Linked DNA regions of Rhinolophus ferrumequinum. The protein of the gene in region 1 purifies or fractionates together with the protein of each later gene. This does not show direct contact. Links are inferred from orthologs where the notes say so. Each region holds a gene or a part of one and is shown on either strand. Other genes may lie near its edges.

Region 1 (5,786 bases):
TGTATCTCTCTTTACACCGTCAACCTTCTGGCTTCCCACCTTCATAGGAAATGGGATGAGAACTGGCTTCTTAGTCTTCTTGGGCTGGGGAACCCCTCGAAGGACCTGGAATCCTCTCTAGTAACTCCCTCAACAATGCAGACACACACAGAGAATGGTGGAGTTCAGGTTTCAAGTTAAGAACTGAGCCTCGAGCTGCTGTCTTCCACGAAGCCAGAGTGAGGGCTCTGCATTCACCTCCATGCCATACCTCAAACCCTTCCCCAGTCACCCAGGCTGGGGTGGAGCAGTCAATACACCAGGTCTCAGCTGTTGGCAAGATCCTAATCATAGTCCTGCCATTTCCCAAATTTCCTGATACGGGCCCTTTCCTGTTTGAGCTCCCTCCTAGAGAGAGAGAAAAAATCGTCTTGACCTTTCTGATCTCCGCACCTACTACATGCCTGTAGTGACCTGCATAGTACTGACTAACGTAGTACCCTCTCGGAGTTGAAGAACTTGGTCCTTCTCTCTGTACGTTGCCTACGTACAAAACCAAATCTCCTAGTTTCCCTCCAAACTTTGGCTCGAATATCTGTGCTTACCCTCGACTCAAAATCTGAAGTAAAGCAAACAAAAATTGAAGTCAATTAGAGATAGTGGAAAGGACATTCCAGAAGGGAGTAGTGTGTACAAAGGTTCAGACACAAAGTTTGCTTAAGGACCAATGGCTTCCTCTGGCAGCCAAAGAGTAGGGAAGCAGGGGAACTCAAATACCAGTTTGGGGAATTTGGGACTTGTTATCACGTGTTTCCCCGAAAATAAGACCGGGTCTTATATTAAGGTTTGCTCCAAAAGATGCATTAGGGCTTATGTTCAGGAGATGTCATCCTGAAAAATCATGCTAGGGCTTATTTTCCGGTGAGGTCTTATTTTTGGGGAAACACAGTCAAGCTCCAGATAGTGGTGTGAGAAATGGACGAGAAACCAAACCACTTTTCCTGGGTTCAATTTTCAACCTTGATTCAAACCCCAAATACTTAGCTATGCAACCACGAACAGGTGACTTACCCTCTCTGAGCCAGTTTCCTCTTTTAAAAAAAAAAGGAATAAAACTGGCAGACAACAGAAACCGACTGAGGGGTGTCAAGGGGATCATGCTGGAATCAGGGAGGTCAGGGAGGTCATGCGGACGGAGGCACAGGCTTGCTGTGGGGGAGGGGACTCCTTTCTGCCTCTAACTTCCGAGGTCCCCCATGGCAGAAATTTCTCGGGGGTCGTGGAACTAGATGTAGGCTGGGTGGGGTTCCTTCATCCATTGAACGAATACTGACATGTATGCCTACGTGCCAGGCCTTGTTCCAAGCACTGGGGCTGCAAGTGTGAACCAAAGTTCTATCCCTCAGGGATTTTAATGGGGGAAGTCAACTCAAACAAATTAAAAAAAAAAACACCTAAAATGACCAGGCGAGCCCCCCACCCAGCTCAGCTGCGGATGCCCTAGCAGATGGCGGAGGAGCTGGCGGGGTCCCCGCGCAGCCCTCGCAGCCCCGATGGGCTTCGCCCACAACGACTTCCGCGCGCACGTAGCTGACATCCGGTTCCTGCGGCTCGTTTTCCACCCTCCGGCTTGGGAGCGGGGGTTCCGGGCGTGGCGTGGGGGCGGGGAGACGGGTGTGTATGACGCCACTTCCGGTGCACGGCGGAAGTGGCCTCCTTTGCTTCCGCGGCGGGGCCGGAAGTAGAAGCGGCCCGAAGCGGAGGGAAGGAGGTAGGCGAGGAGCCCGGGAGCCCGAGTCGAAGTCGCAGCGGCGGTAATTGTCGGGGACCCCTCTAGGCCACCGTCCCTAGCGCGGGATCGCGGGGTTCGACGGGAGTTAGCCAGGGGCGGCCGGGGCCGTGGGGCGATGTGAGGGGAGGTCGGGGGGGGGGGGGAACCGAGCCGGCTCCGGGATGGAGTTGAGCCCCCCCACGCCTGGCGCCCCCTACGGACACTCTGATTTGGGCTCGTCTTCGCCTTTCCCAGGAGACCCCTGTGCGGTGCGGAGGGGGCGGCGGCCCCGGCTCTGACCCGCGCCGGGGGGTGGGCCATGGCGGAGATCAGCGACCTGGACCGGCAGATCGAGCAGCTGCGGCGCTGCGAGCTCATCAAGGAGAGCGAAGTCAAGGCCTTGTGCGCTAAGGCCAGGTGAGCCCGCCGGCCCCGGGCCGGGGGGCCCCGCCGCTGCCCACGGTTCCGGCCTGGGGCTGACCTAGCCGAGCACTCGGGGCCTGGCCCATCCCGGAACCTTCTCCCCTCGGGGAGCAACCTGCCTGTGCGGGGGTCGGGGGGCGATGGAGACAGACCTGGATAAAGACCCCGAAAGTATTCGATGATGTGTTTTCAGTGGAGTTAGAGAGTTCTAGAAAGTTCTTTGGAAGCGCAGGGAAACAGCCCTATCTGTTGGGGGGGGGGGTACAGAGAACGCTTCTTGGAGGAGCTGAACTTTGGGGCAGGCCGTGAAGAAGACGACGACAAAAGGCAGCGTCTGCCAGAACCGAAGTCCAAAGGCAGAAAGGCTCAAGAGTCTGTGGTGTGTGAAATTCTTCACAATTCCGACAGGACAGCAGCCCTTCAAGATGGGTGGTGGCGTCCCCGTTTTACAGGGGAGGCCCCAGGCTCAGAGTCAACCAGCAAGTCAGGGATGGAGTTTGAAGCCCGTTCTCTGTGTCCTGTCCCTTTTCAGGCCATAATGCACGAAGGTGGACTTGGATCACGCATGTTCTGTGTGGGAGCCTAAGAAACGGTAGTAGATAAGTCAGAGTATTAGTATAATCCAGCGTAGGAAGGCAGGCCCAACTCCGAGTTCGGTGGCAAGTGGGATATGTAGTGGTTAAGAGGCCCCAGGCGTTGTCGTGGTGAATGATGGCTGTAGGTTGGACTCGGCCACTGACCAGCTCTACGGGAGATCTCAGTTTTTTGACCTGTAAAATGGGGATGATAGGACTTAGTACGGTGGTTGTGAGAAGTCGGTAAGTTGGTGTGTGGGAGGAGCTTCGCATCAGGCGTTGGTGCGATGTAAGCGCAGCGATCCTTCGGTGGTGTTACCGTGTAGGACCAGGGCAATGCTGATTGGACTGAAGAGGTCCGGGAAGGCTTCTAAGAGAAGGGGGCCTTGGGAGATGAAAAGAATTTGGCCAGGCGATGGCAGCGGGCCCGGGGAGGGAGGCATCCTAAGCAGGCTGAGAGTAGGAGTGGAGGCGCTGTCACGTGTCCCCAGTGAGGAGACCAGTTACCTGCCTCCTCTGAGGTCCTGTTTGAAGGGCTTCCACCAGGCTGGAGAATTGTGGGGGAAGAGCCGGCAGAGTGACCCTGCATGAGCTGGCAGAGTGAACAACAGGCCCACTCTTAGCCTGGCGCTGTACTAGCAAAGCATTTATAGCCATTTCCACAGCCATCTCATGAGGTTGGAATTACCTCCTCCACTGTGTAGAACAGGATTCCATGACTCCGAGAGGCTTCGTGACTTGGCCGAGGTCACCCAGAGAGAAAGTGGCAGAGCTGGGCTCCGACCTTGTGGCCGTCAGGCTCTTTGCGTGGCTCAGCCCCACGCAGACAGACGCGTAGCAGCCAGAGAGGGCCTGCGTGGCTTTGGCGAGTGGGCAAAGCCCCTTTTTAAATGCTTGTCTGTAGCTCTTTCATGTTTTGCGTGCTTCCTCAGTCTTGACTGGCATTTTTAGGATTGCTGCCTGGCACTAATCTTTACCCTGTAAGTCTCACCTCCCCCCATAGGACCTTAATTTGGTAATGATAATAGCTTGGGTAGCATGGTGGCGTTTCCAGGATAACAGAAGTTACATACTGTCTTCACTGTTCTTTGCCCACTGGAATAGGCAGGGCTGGGGTGAGTAGTTCACAGAAGAGAAAATCGAGCCTCAGGGAAGCTAACGTCTCACCCAGGCCTCACAGCTGGTTGGAGGGGCGCTGGGTTTTGGAGGCAGGTCTTTGTGCTCTAAGCTTGTGAACAGCCAGGCTGTCAGAGACGCAGCAGGGAGCTGAGGAGAACTGAGGGGTGGGAGGGTCCAGCTCAGCTGAAACTGAGATGGAGCTCGGAGGTTCTGGCCTGAGGCCTGAGCTGACCACTGTCATCCCAGGCACGGCCTGAGGAAGGGCCGGCTCTAGCACCTAGGGACCCGCCCGGTGCCCATGCCGGCAGTGTCGAGAGCTTCGGCTCGCTCCGAGGGTGTGTAGACTCAAGCCTGTGGGTTTACAGCGGCCTGACGTGTGCGAGCTGAACTTGGTCCTGCTAAAAGTGAGCATAGGGGCGGCCAGTTAGCTCAGCTGGTGAGAGCATGGTGTTGGTAACACCAAGGTTGCCGGTTCAAGCCCCGCATGGGCCACTGTGAGCTGCGTCCTCCTTAAAAAAAAAGTCAGCATATTCGAAGAGCAGAGGGTTTTGAATCGGGGGGTCTTCAGTGCGAATCCCAGCTTTGTCACCTGTAAATCGTAGGACCCTGGTCAAGTCCCTTTACCTCTGCAAGTCTTTGAAATCCTTAGGATTCTCAAACGAGATTCTGCAAATCTGAGGACAGGCCCAGGCACTTTGATGAGCACGTACAAAAGGCAGTGTTAGTTGTGGGAGGAAAGGTGAGCAAATGTGAACCCTGAGAGGGCGGGTGGTGTGCTGCAAGCGTCAGGGCTGGGATGGGAAGCTGGGCCTTGTTGCCGGACCTTGCTGGGGTGCTGCTAACTCCGAGGCTGGGTTTTGACCCACAATCTGGCAGAAATTCTCAGAGAGTTGGGCTCCTGGGTTCCAGCTCAGGCTCTCTCCAGTTTTGTGACCTTGCCCCTGCCCCTTTTTTCTCTAAGCCTTGGTTTTTTTACCTGTCAGACGAGGATGAAAAGAACCTCCCCGAGTCAGTCGCAAAGGTCATTGTAAGCGCTTGATGTGGAAGGATGTTGATTGAGCACAGGGGCAGTACAGGTGGGAGAGCCTGGTAGCTGCAGGGCCCCCGGGATCACAGCCAGCGCCTCCTCCCATCCCCAGAAAGCCAGGGCACACCTCCAGGAGCTGCCTGTGTCGTGCACAGCACCCCGAAGGACCTCCAGGGAAGCCTGAGGAGCTCGGGGAGCCCCAGTCTGGTGGGAAGAGACTGGCAGGAAGAGGGCAGGCTGAGCAGGAGCTTGAGAAAAGCCAGACCCGGGAGCCCGCTGCCTTGGTTGCAGTCCCGCAGGGGTGACTGCGGCCATTCGTTCGAGCAGGGAAACCACCTTTGAAGGTGGTGATTTGATTGTGTTGCGTCCTCCACGCAACGCTCTTCCTGCAGTCATGGCGCAAGGTGAGAACTGGAACGCTCACCTCTGCAGCTGTCACCAGGAGGAAACCTGGTAGCAGGGTGCTCCTTCAATTGGGTGCCTGTCCACCTGACATGTCCACTCAAGTGGAAGGAGACCACTGCAAGGAGGGGTGAAAGAACAAAGTCGTCCCTTCATCTAAATAATGAAAAAGCAACGACATATCACTTGGAAGATCACACTGGAGCCGGCCTCCCCAGGGCACCGGGCTGTGCCTGGGCGAAGGCCCCTGTGACGGGCAGAGGGCCTCTGAGCTCTGCCCGGGGCACAGGCTCGGAGCGCCAGGTGGGGGGCGCCGCGGGAGTAGAGGGCTCTGTGGTGGGGAGGAGATCTGTTTCTTGGGGTGCTGGATGTGTGAAAGGGAGCGGCGGGGAGGGTCAGGACTGGGAAAGTCACAGCCTGCCTGGAAGGGCTTTGAAAACCGGAACAAGAGCTTGACCTGTGGCCTGTTGGCAGCCGGGAGCCAGCAAGG
Region 2 (5,786 bases), on another chromosome or scaffold:
GCGGGATTCGGAGGAGTTGAACCAGCAGCCTTGTGGTTGAGAGCCAACTGGCCCATGTGGGAATCGAACCGGCAGCCTTCGGAGTTAGGAGCACGGAGCTCCAACTGCCTGAGCCACCGGGCCGACCCCTTTTAATTTTTTTTTTTTTTTAGATTTTATTGGGGAAGGGGAACAGGACTTTATTGGGGAACAGTGTGTACTTCCAGGACTTTTTTTTTTTTTCAAGTCAAGTTGTCCTTTCAATCTTAGTTATGGAGGGTGCCGTTCAGCTTCAAGTTGTTGTCCTTTCAGTCTTAGTTGTGGAGGGCGCAGCTCAGCTCCAGGTCCAGTTGCCGTTTTCTAGTTGCAGGGGGCACAGCCCACCATGCCCTGTGGGAGTCGAACCGGCAACCTTGTGAGCCATCTGGGAGGCAGCTCAGCTCAAGGTGCTGTGTTCAATCTTAGTTGCAGGGGGCACTGCCCACCATCCCTTGCGGGACTCCAGGAATTGAACTGGCAACCTTGTGGTTGAGAGCCGGCCCATGTGGGAATTGAATCGGCAGCCTTTGGAGTTAGGAGCATGGAGCTCTAACTGCCTGAAGCCACCGGGCCGGCCCCCCTTTTAATTTTTTAATTCAAATTTTTATTTGTTTATATTTAGGTATTTTTTTGTATTATAAAGGAATTTTAGCACTTTTTAACATATGGTACAAGAAATTTTATGTAACAAATAATTACAAAAGACAAGAACAGATACAAGGTACAATAATTTTATTAATATGTACCGGTAACAAATTTATGATATTTACACATCATAGAAGGCCAAGAACTCTTCGTCACTGTCAATATCAGAAGTATTGTCTTCCTTAATTTCTACATTACCGGTGTTTTCTGAAGAGTTAGACACTTTCTTCATTCAGTAAATTTCATCATCCTCCATCCCATCCATTGCACTGCTGATGCCACATTTTTTAAACGATTTTACAATAATTTCATTCTTGATACCGTTCCACAATCTTAGGATCCAATCACAAACCTGGGCGATGGATGCTTTCTTGATTCTGCCTGTAGGTGTTAAATCATTACCAGCTGACTGCATCCACGACATCCACTCTATTCTTCATGAGGACCATTAAGGGCTTGTTTACTGATACATCAAGAGGTTGCAGTTCGCCGGCTAGCCCACCAGGTATCACAGCGAGTTGGGTTTTCAAGGCCACTGCAATTGCTTTTGCACTTCGTGTAACATGGGCTTTGAAGTGATCAAAAACAAGCAAAGCTGGGTTTTTAAGTAATTCTCCAGGCCTTTGTGACTAGACTTTGTTCAACCAGATTTTCGTGCCTTCTCCATTTATCCATCCTTTTTCATGTACGTGGACAATAATTCTACTTGGAAACTTTTCTTTTGGAAACATTTTTGTTTTAAAGATGATCATAGGTGGTAGCTTTGTCCCATCTGTACAACAGGCTAGAACAACAGTGAAATGTGTTTTCTCATGTCCACTAGTTTAAACAGCCCTGGTCTTTACTCCTTTGACGTTTGCAGTTCTGTTAGATGGCACATCAAATGTGTGTGGGACCTCATCCATATTGGCGCTTTGGGACAACTCAAAGTTGTAAGTCTTTTGAAGATTGATAACATAAGAATGAAATTCCAAAACTTGATTCTCATTGGCTGCTGGAAGTTTTGGGGCAAGTTTCATTCATGTCCTCATGCTTAAACCTTCTCTCTTGATAAAGTTAAAGCACCATTTAGGTGTCCCTGAGAAATCATCAATATTGTTTTTTCTCGTGCAATCTCTTTACCCTCTTCTTGTATCATCTTGGTTGACACAGAGATCCCAGTCTGATGCTCCTCCAGAATCCAGGTCTTTACCTCTTGCTCCAAACCGGCCACTTTGGAGGTTTCCCTTGCATTGCCTTCTTCTATCTCAGCATCTGAAGAAGCTTTTCTTCCTGTTGCCTCCACAATCTGATGACACTCTCTGTGGGAGGAGGTCCAAAGTGTCTCTTGGCAGCTCTGTTGCTATGCTCTTTAGCATATATATATATATGCTATATAACATATATATGTATATATATTTTTAAAGAGGTTGCAGCTCACAGGGGCCCATGTGGGGTTCTAATCGGCAACCTTGGTGTTATGAGCACTGCACACCAAGCAACAGAGCAACCGGCCACCCCTACTGTTACACTTTTAACTCATAAGCATAAGTAAAATAATCAAAAACATTTATGTAGATACTGAATTAGTACTACCCATGTATAATGCATATCCTTATCTCCCCCCCACACACACAAATTTGGGCAAAAAAGTGCGTATTATACACAGCAATATAAGGTTACTTTCCCTCTCTTTGACCTTCCCAAGATGTCAGCTCCAAGTGCTACCTAAAGATAGCTCTGCCACTCTCAAGACGGTACCCGGGAAGTGAGTAGGAGGAGCCCTAGAAATCTCGCGTTAGGCGAGGACATGCGGTAGGTTATCGCGAGAGGATACGTCATTCCCAGCCAGGCGTCGTGTGAACAGCAACCGGTGCCGAAGGTGGAGGTGAGGCCGGAGCGGTGAGGGGTGGGTTGGAAGCCGACGTAGCAGGCCCAGGGGTCGCCGGGAACCAGGGAGGTGTAGAGACCGGATTCAAGGACTCTAGAGGTGTAGCAGGTGGCGTTGGGGGCGGGTCTCCTTTCGGGTTCACGGTTGCCAGAACGAGGCTGCCGGAAGTGCGCTAAGGGGCTTTTCTCGCCGGGAACCGGCGGGGATACTGAGGCTCGGGGTGGAGTTCGGGATTGGGGGACGCACTGAGGCCGCCGTCTTTTCTTGCAAGAGCAGATGTCGGACAGCGAGGACAGCAACTTCTCCGAGGAGGAAGACAGCGAGCGCAGCAGTGACGGCGAGGAGGCCGAGGTCTGTGGCTGGGGCGCTGGGGGGCATGGCGCCTGGGGACAGGACCAAAGCAGAAAGGCCCCTGTGCGAGCTCAGAGCGGATCAAAATGAGCTCTGGCCTCGCGGAGCTTCCAGGTTGTCGGGAGAGATAGACAAGTAGGGAAGCCCAGGTTAAGCAGAGGGGACAGGTGCTGGAGGCCAGGGCTGCCCCGGGTACAGGTAGGTAACAAGCGATGTGGTGAAAGGACCTGCCACATAGTGAGCACTCACTATTAGCTTTTATTTTTAGGTATGTTCAGTCATTCTAGAAAGATGTTTTTACTGCCTACTATGTGCTACGCACAAGTCTTTGCCCTTGAGCTACGCCAGTAAACAAAACAGATTTCAAAAACCTTTGCCTTGTGAATATAAGTAAACATAATAAGTAAATCATTAGTATGTTAGCAGGTACTCTGCAGGAAAGTAGAGAAGGGGAATAGGGAGTCCTCGTTGCACTTTGAATAGGGTAATCAGGGTGAGTCTGAGCGGGTGACATTTGAAAAAAGACTTGTTGGAGGTGAGGGAGTGAGTCATGTCATAGGGAAGAAGAGTGTTCCAGTAAGGGGGAACAGGCAGTGCAAAGTTGGGAGCATGTCTGCGGTGTTCAAGAAGTAACAAGGAGTCCACTTTTGCTGGATCAGAGAGAGTGCAGCAAAGAAGTAACAGAAAGAAGCCCAATCACACAGGATCTTGAAGACTGTGGTGAGGAATTTATCCTTAACTGAGTGAGATGGAGCCATGAGAACGTTTCGAGCAAAGGAGGGATGTGATCTAATGTTTTGAAAGGATCACTCCGGCTTTGGGTGTGTTGAATGTCGCCATTTCAGGAACTAAATATCAAACATTTCCTGGGACACATCTGATTTCAAATATTGTCACTCACTGTTATCCTCTTGTATTTATTTTTGATTTCCTCATTTGTTGAACAAATGTTTGAGCATCTACGTTGTGCTGCAGATACATCCTAGGTGTTGGAGAGAGTGGAACAAGGCAAATCTGTCCTTTCAGGGAGTTTAGTAGAAGGGAATTAACAAAGGATGGTTATATGGGTTTCATTTAGCCTTACAGAAATGGGAATTTATTTTGTAAGTTAGTTGCCAACACTTGTAAGGGTGATTTCGTGTAAAAATCAACATTTCCTGCTTTTCTGGGGAAATGGGAGGAGCCAGTAACTGGGACTCAGGATTGTTCCATATAGTAGCTCTTTGCTCAAGAAGTAGCAGCCCTGTTTAGAACTGGGAATTTTCTCTAGTTTCCAGGATACATAAATCACCATTTATCATCATGCCTGTCTTGTGGCAGATTTAAGAAAAGGAAAGGTGTCATATGCCTGTGTTATGGAAAACACAAGGTAGACGGAGAGTGCCATGGGATTCCCTTGAGCTTATTTATGTTGCATGCTTGCCCTCTGTAGGCATTTGATTGTCAAACCTTGTGCCTTTTGGGGAGTCTTCAGCTTCCGGTGAAGAGTTGGAGGAATTGGGATATCGTGCTGGGGGAGTGGGGCAAATAGGAGGATGCCAGGAAGGGCCTTTGCTTCAAGAGTCCTTGGTCTCTGACTCATGGCTTCAGGACACTTTGCTTGTGGTTAAAGCCTGGTGGTAATGAGACCAGGATCCCCGCTTCCTTTTCCTGGCTGGGGTAGTCTGCTTTGCACTGTGCAAGTCTCACTCTTAACACCACACTAGGCTGGCTTGTCTGCTGTCACCAGGTGAGGCATGAGGGCGGTGTGAAGCCCGCCCTCACTGCCAGAGATGGGACTGGATGGGTTTTTCAGACAGCCAGATGTTGGCATGGCCCTTGAAGAACTGGGTCCCACGGATAGACAGGTAGGGGATGGTACACAATGAGCCACTTTCGGGTTCACTCTTCTCAGCCCCAGTAACCTGCTCATTCACTAATTCGACATGTGTTCCTTGAGTTCCTGTCGTGTTGGGATCACAGCCTCCCTCGTGGAGACCTCTGTCCTGGGGTGGAGAGTTTCATAAACAGAGGGACCAGTACTGAGGGGAATCCTGAGGACGGCATGGTGTAAGAGCACGTTCAAGTCCTGAGGTAACACAGAGATAGTAGTGGGAGCTCTCTCCTCGGGGACTGGGGAGCCGGGTTTGGAAAGAAGGGTACGCTGGGACTGAGGGTGATGACAAGGTTTTTAGAAATCAGGATGTGATCCTATTGTAGTTTGAGTTGTTCATATGTGGATTGTGTGAGCTAGTCAGGATTCTGTATTAAAGCAAATATTTCTTAAGTCATCTTGTGTTCCCGGCCATGGGCTGGGTGATGCTGGGGACCCAGCAGTGCCTGAGATAATAGCCTGGTCCCTGCTCTCAGGGAGGTCATCGTGGTCACCTCCCTGACCACGTGGTGGAAGAAGCCCGGAGGGTGGTGACTGCAGAGGATGTGCCTGCCTTTGCCTGGTGGGGAGAGGGCATGACTTCCTGAAAGAGGGGTACTTTGATTGAAACGTGAACGAGAGGCAGAGCAAAATAGCTTGTTATGCAGAGGACCAGCCTGGATGATGGACTGTGCTAAGTGTGCGGTTCAGTGTGGCTGGGACCTAGCATTTGAAGAGGGAGCCCAGGGAGGTGGGAGGAGAGGCAGTGGGCAGAGTGTGCTTCTAGTCCAGGCTGCTGGGGCGCTTCTTCCTTATCCGAGAGCTGAGGGGAGCTGTGGCTGTGTTTTAAATGGGGGACCAAATGATCAGATCCAGGTTTTAGCACATGGCTTCCCAAGACTACCAGATGCTTTCCAGGTTGGGCGAGGGGTGAAGAGAGGTGCTTTTAGGTGGAGTAAGGATAAGACCTTCAGCCTCATTGGATCATTTACTGAGCAAGTTACTTCCTTTTAAGTTCATTCCACGTCCTGTCTTTTGACTGGGTCAGGG
Region 3 (5,786 bases), on another chromosome or scaffold:
CCTGGGACCCCTGTACACAAAGTCTTGTTCTAAGTATTAAGAGGAGATACAAAGGAAGAATATTATATTCATTCAACATATAATTATTGAGCATCGATAATTTAACAGGTCCCGTTCTAGGCACTGGGAATACAGCAATGTTCCTATTACGTGGGATGCAGAACAAAGACATACTTCCCAATTAGCCAAGTAACAGGAAAAAACATATACAACTAGAATCATTTTCCCAAATGTGGAGCAATTAAGGCCTGGCTTTTAAGGGAGGGGGAGCCTCCGGCACACACCTTTTCTGTTAGTAGGATGACCGGTAGGGTCCTCCATCTGAGCACCCACAGATGTGTTTCCAGAGGCCTGGAAAGAAACATCGGGTCACGTGATCAACAACCATGCTATTATTTTACTGTTGACAATTTTCTAAGTTCTCTCTGGCAGATCTCAGGCTGTTCCAATTTGGGGAGGAAAAAGTGGGAAAGGGTGTACTCTTTTATTTTATGGCCAAATGTTAAGTGACTCTTCATGGATTGTTTGTGCTCTCCTAGCCCCTTCACTAGTTTGGAATACAGTTGTTTCCGTTATTATTGCTTCCTTTTTTTTTCTGGACAAAATAGTAATGCAACTAAACCCAAACCTTAAAAGTCTCCTACGAACGGGCAATTACTCTCTTGTGTTCTCTCCACGTTTAATTTCCGTATCAGCCCTTTTCCTTTCCTGTAAGGTAATTGAAAAGCTCTGGCTCAGTCGTCTCTAATGGACTAGCAGTGGAGTGGACGTCAAGAGGGCAGGGGAGGCAACGGGCGTGGAGAAACAATCTCAAAGCCCTACGTGGAACCCTTGAGAAAATGTTTTGGATAGAATAACGGGGAGAGGGTGTGGTGGGGTGGAAAGGAAGCCATCACCCTCTGGCGCCGCTCACAGCCTCGGTCAGTAGAAAGCGTTTGCCTAAGAATGGTAAGGTTCCCGCACAGCAACGAGACCAGAGGCAATAAACCACAACTCCCAGCGTGCCCGATAGGACTACAACTCCCATTTCACCCCGCGGCCAACCCGCCAGGTCTTCCCTTAACCGCCGGTTGAAGTCCCTCCCTTCTATTCCTCCCTGTAGCTAAGGCTGGATCGAAAGAGTGACGGAAACTGTCACTGCTTTCTTGACCTTCGCGGCCTGAGAGGAGCTGAGGTGCAAGCCAGTCTAATGCCATCACCTGCGGTGTTAATTGAGAGCCACAACCCCAGCATCCACCCTTGCAGCTGAATCACACGCGCAGCGACGTGCCGGCCAACTGCCCGAGCCTTGGCGCTTGCGCCGAAGCTCGCGCCGCACGCGGCCGGGAGCGGCCACCCTATTGCGCAAGCGCCGTTTCCATCCTCGTGCTCTCTCTATCTAGCTTGCCCAGACGTTCTTGCGTAGGGGGCGGGGCTAAGAATCCCAATTGGCTTATTTTTGTGCCGGTCAGTGAGGTGGATGCGCTGATTGGCGGCGACCCGGAAGGTAGCGGGTTTAGGTGTAAGCCCTGAGAAGGCAGCGTTTTCTGGGCTTCTCTCAGGTTCTCTCTCCAGAAGCTTCTGCCGGTTCCCCCAGCTCTGGGTCCCGGGCTCCGCATCGCGCCGCCATGATGGGCCATCGTCCCGTGCTCGTGCTCAGTGAGTTGAGGGGAAGCCGATGGAGGGACCCCCTTTTCGCTCCCCGTCGGTCTACACTTTTCAGGGTTGCCCCAGCCCAGTCCCGCCATGGTCCGGCCAGTGAGCCTACCAGTCATCCTCGTTTTGGAAGCCCCTTCTCCCGCTCTCCTGTCTCCCCTTAGTCCATTCCGCTGTCTTCACGGACGCAAACTGACCTTGTCCTCACGGCTTCCCGCCCCGGGGAGCCCCTGCCCCCTTCTCGGCGTGGTTTTCGGCGTGTAGGTGAATGGATGATGGTGTTTTGGTTTGGCCCAGCTCGGGAACCTCGGTCAGTCTCTTAGCAGCGGTTGTCCTCGGCCAAATTGCTTAAGTGTTTCCATCTGTCTTATTGGGGTGAACGGTAGTTCCCCGTAGAACCGTGAGGATCAAACGAGATAAGTAGAGGAACTGCTGAAAAGAGGGGCTGGCGAACAGCGAGGGGTGGGTATCCTTGTCACTTTTCCCTAACGGCCCTCTTGAATTTCCGCTCAGCAGCCCGTCCCTGTACCTGAAGTAACTCCGCTTCCCTCCCTGGTCTGTCTCTCTGTCTGTCTTAGATGTAATTATTCCCTGCGTGTCGCCTGCGTTGTAATCCTTCCCAGGAACCCACTTGAGTTTTCCCAAATTTCTTAACGGGTTCTCTTTACCCTTCAAAACATCCCACATTTCTTTCTGACTGGCGAGCGCCTCGTCCATGGGCTTCCCCTGGTTTGTTTCCGTCCTGTGTGTCGCTTCTGTGTGCCATCTGCAAGACCACCTAAGATCCCCAACTAGCCATAGTGTCTTCTGTCTACGGAACGCCGTTCAGAGATTTTAACCATTTTCCCTACACCTAGGAAATAACTCTTTTTAGGGGGGGAGGGGAATCCCGTAACCAGAAAAATGCCTGTTCTTTCGGATGAATCCATCAGAAAGGTTCATGCAGGGTTTTACTCACCACGGCCTGAAATAGGCATCTAAAGCGTGAGAATTGTGAATGTTTAGATTTGATGAGACTGGGTTGGACATTTTTCAGATTGAAATCGTTGGCAGGAAAATGTGCAATTGGGAGAGAGGAAGGAAATGAGCGGGTGTTGGTTTGGTTATGGACCACTGGCTTGTCTGCACTGAGGGGGCCCTGGGGTGAGTGGTGCATTCGAAGTCCTTTTCAGGTCTGCATTCATCCCTGGCCTTAGTGGCTATAACCCACTGTGCTCTCTGTTAAAGTAGGTAACAGCTCTTACTGATGGTACGTGGGTGACTGAGGCAGTCTTGCTATAGCCAAGCATGGAGTGACTAGCTTGCAAATGGGGACACACTTGAAGAGTGTGTTCTCATCCCACAGCACACTGGGGGCTCTGTCAGTAATCATGCCCGGTCTATCGAGTATGATTCTTCCTCTCCAAGTAGGGAAAGATGAACCCCAAACTCCCTTTTACATAAAGAAGTGATTTGTGCTTCTTTTAGGGTCACCGGCCTTTTGAGAATCCAATGAGAGGCTATAGATCCTTTTCCCAGACGAAGCCCCCATTTTCTCATATAATCTCAGGGATTTTCACTTTGCCACAGAGGCCCACTCATGAATCTCAGATTATGAATCCATGCTGTAAATACATGGGTGTTTGGTTAGAGGGAAAGTGATGACCAAGATTCCAAAGTTGAAGCATCGTGGGTGGTTTCTAACAGTTTTTTTGAGGTGTAATCATACAATAAGCTGCACATATTTAAAGTGTACAACTTGATAAGCTTTGATCTGTGTGGACACCTATGGAACCTGTGCATTTGTTTCTATTTTCAGAAGTCGGGGAGTAAATAGTTTATATATAATGGGACAATCCCGCACTGTTGTCTTATCTATTTTAGGCCAGAACACAAAGCGTGAATCTGGAAGAAAAGTCCAATCTGGAAACATCAATGCTGCCAAGGTAGCCTATCCGTGGAATTGTTTACAGTGTGCTGGTTTTCCTCCAGCTGCCTGCCCTAGTATTTCTGTATCTGTTTGCAGTTAGGCAGAGGAGAGGTTGACTTCCCTTCTTTTAGGTCATTTCCTTGATAGGGGTAGAACGAAGGAAGCCCTTTCTCTGTGCGTTAGGCCTAAGCATCTTCTCATACTGACAAAGTTCCATCGCTGTGTATCTTATAATAATACCCTATTTGTGTCTGTCTACTAGACTGAGTTCCTGTGGGGAAGGACTGTGTGTATCCCCTCTTGTATTCCGAGTGCCCACTGTAGATCCCAGATAGGACCCAGTATCTTTGGCATAAAAAGCCCTCACTGGGTCTGATTTAGCATGGTGTGGAGGTTACTGTGATGGAAAGAACTCCTAAGACATGGACGTGCATTTATCTGGACTGCTGGGAAACTGAAGATCTGGGAAGCATGTCCCCGTTTTTCTTGTGAAAAGTCATTTCTTTCTACCTCCACCCTGAAAGCATTCCCAAAGGGGAAAACAGAACGGAAGCGGCCACACGGCGTGCAGCATCTAAGATGCTTGCCAACCCTGCTCTGGTGGGGGGGTTGCTAGCCCACGGGCTCTGTGGGTCCCTCGTGCCCCTTTCCTAACACAGACACTCACCCTGTCCTCTGACTTGTGCTCATGTGTTTATATTTTCCTTCCACTAGACCATCGCAGATATCATCCGAACATGTTTGGGACCCAAGTCCATGATGAAGGTAGGCCCCTCTCATACTGAAAGCCTTTGACTACAGACTTTCCCTTTCTGGTATCTGGAAAACTTAAATATAACTTTTGCTTGTGTCCTAGATGCTTCTGGACCCGATGGGAGGCATTGTGATGACCAATGACGGCAATGCCATTCTTCGAGAGGTGTGACTGACTTTTCATTATGATTTCACACCTTTATAAAGGATCCAGAAAGATGTATTGATGATGACTAGTTCCTTAGGGCTGCTGGAACAAATGACCACAAACTAGGAAGCTTTAAACAACAAAAGTGTGTTCTTTAGACTGGAGGATACAAACCTGAAATCAAGGTGTCAGCAGAGCCGTGCGCCTGAAAGCCTATGGCAGGATCTTTCTAGCTGCTGACGGCTGACCATATCCTTGGCCTTCCTTGGCTCGTGAACTCGGTCTCCTTCTCGTTTGTCACGTGGAAGTCTCCTGTGTGTCGTACTGTAAGGACACCAGTGGTTGGAGTCGGGGCCTACACTGATTCCCTATGACCTCATCTTAACTTGATTACATGGTCAGTGACCCCATTTCCAAATATAGTCACATTTGTAGTTTGCAGCGTGTAGGACTTCAGCATGTCCTTTTGGAGGACACAGTTCAACCACCACAGTGGTGCTCCCAGTAAATAAAAGATAGTGTTCTGTTGTCAGAAAAACTGTAATAGGTCAGTTGGCCTAATATATTTCCCTAAAACGAAAGGGACTTGGAAAGGTGGTTTACTTAGATATTTTGGGGGCCACTTTTAATCTTTCAAGCTGTGGTAAAACAAGGGAAAAAGGAGTAAGTGTGAAAGCGAGAACCTGAAGGTTAGGGCCAAGCAGAATGTGAAGCGGGCTTTGAATAGTGTGGATTCTAGTGGCAGGCGACATGTTTCTTTCCAGATTCAAGTTCAGCATCCAGCAGCCAAGTCCATGATTGAAATTAGCCGGACACAGGATGAAGAGGTTGGAGATGGGACCACATCAGTAATTATTCTTGGTAAGAAGAGAATGGAAGGATGATAAAGAAAATTTGATTGAAACTTGAAGATTTTTGCTAGAAATATTGTCTGTGTCATATTTTAAGAAGGAAATTGTTACCAATCCACTAATCACAGATATTAAATAACTTGTTGCTAATTATGTGTGTGTTCTCTCCAACTGAGTATAAAACAGTCATCAGTAGTATAGAATGAGCTCTGTAAATCTGCTTGAGTAAAATACAGTTGATTTTCGTTAGTCACAGTAAGTTTTATTCTATAAAGTCACCACAAATTGAACCAGCGAATGCTAAACCATTGCTCTTAGGGGAAATAATGGGGTTAGGTTCCTGAGAGCCTTGGGTCGCGTTCTTCAACTGAGAAATACATACCTTATTTTACGTGTTGTTTTGTTTTAAACACATTTTTATCTAATAATAATGTTGATTCATTAATGCTGAGCTCATGGCCGGTAGCACTACAACTCGTGCCTGAAAAGA

Evidence for each region.
Region 2: the proteins of PPP4C (region 1) and SUPT5H purify together in Homo sapiens (affinity purification with mass spectrometry; 3 studies listed by BioGRID and IntAct, with this or other methods). This does not show direct contact. The link is inferred for Rhinolophus ferrumequinum from reciprocal best matches to the Homo sapiens genes PPP4C and SUPT5H.
Region 3: the proteins of PPP4C (region 1) and CCT3 purify together in Homo sapiens (affinity purification with mass spectrometry; 5 studies listed by BioGRID and IntAct, with this or other methods). This does not show direct contact. The link is inferred for Rhinolophus ferrumequinum from reciprocal best matches to the Homo sapiens genes PPP4C and CCT3.

The regions. Positions count from the first base shown.
Region 1 is NW_022680357.1:1,030,085-1,035,870, forward strand, and holds the start of PPP4C (serine/threonine-protein phosphatase 4 catalytic subunit), read left to right. Parts: upstream 1-1,683; 5' UTR 1,684-1,793; intron 1,794-2,005; 5' UTR 2,006-2,069; coding exon 2,070-2,167; intron 2,168-5,786. UniProt on the Homo sapiens protein: Protein phosphatase that is involved in many processes such as microtubule organization at centrosomes, maturation of spliceosomal snRNPs, apoptosis, DNA repair, tumor necrosis factor (TNF)-alpha signaling, activation of c-Jun N-terminal kinase MAPK8, regulation of histone acetylation, DNA damage checkpoint signaling, NF-kappa-B activation and cell migration.
Region 2 is NC_046298.1:38,600,517-38,606,302, forward strand, and holds the start of SUPT5H (transcription elongation factor SPT5), read left to right. Parts: upstream 1-2,374; 5' UTR 2,375-2,530; intron 2,531-2,809; coding exon 2,810-2,884; intron 2,885-5,786. UniProt on the Homo sapiens protein: Component of the DRB sensitivity-inducing factor complex (DSIF complex), which regulates mRNA processing and transcription elongation by RNA polymerase II.
Region 3 is NC_046305.1:841,662-847,447, reverse strand, and holds the start of CCT3 (T-complex protein 1 subunit gamma), read left to right. Parts: upstream 1-1,481; 5' UTR 1,482-1,607; coding exon 1,608-1,638; intron 1,639-3,498; coding exon 3,499-3,560; intron 3,561-4,258; coding exon 4,259-4,309; intron 4,310-4,400; coding exon 4,401-4,463; intron 4,464-5,209; coding exon 5,210-5,306; intron 5,307-5,786. Other genes in the region: TSACC (TSSK6-activating co-chaperone protein), read right to left, coding at 285-321. UniProt on the Homo sapiens protein: Component of the chaperonin-containing T-complex (TRiC), a molecular chaperone complex that assists the folding of actin, tubulin and other proteins upon ATP hydrolysis.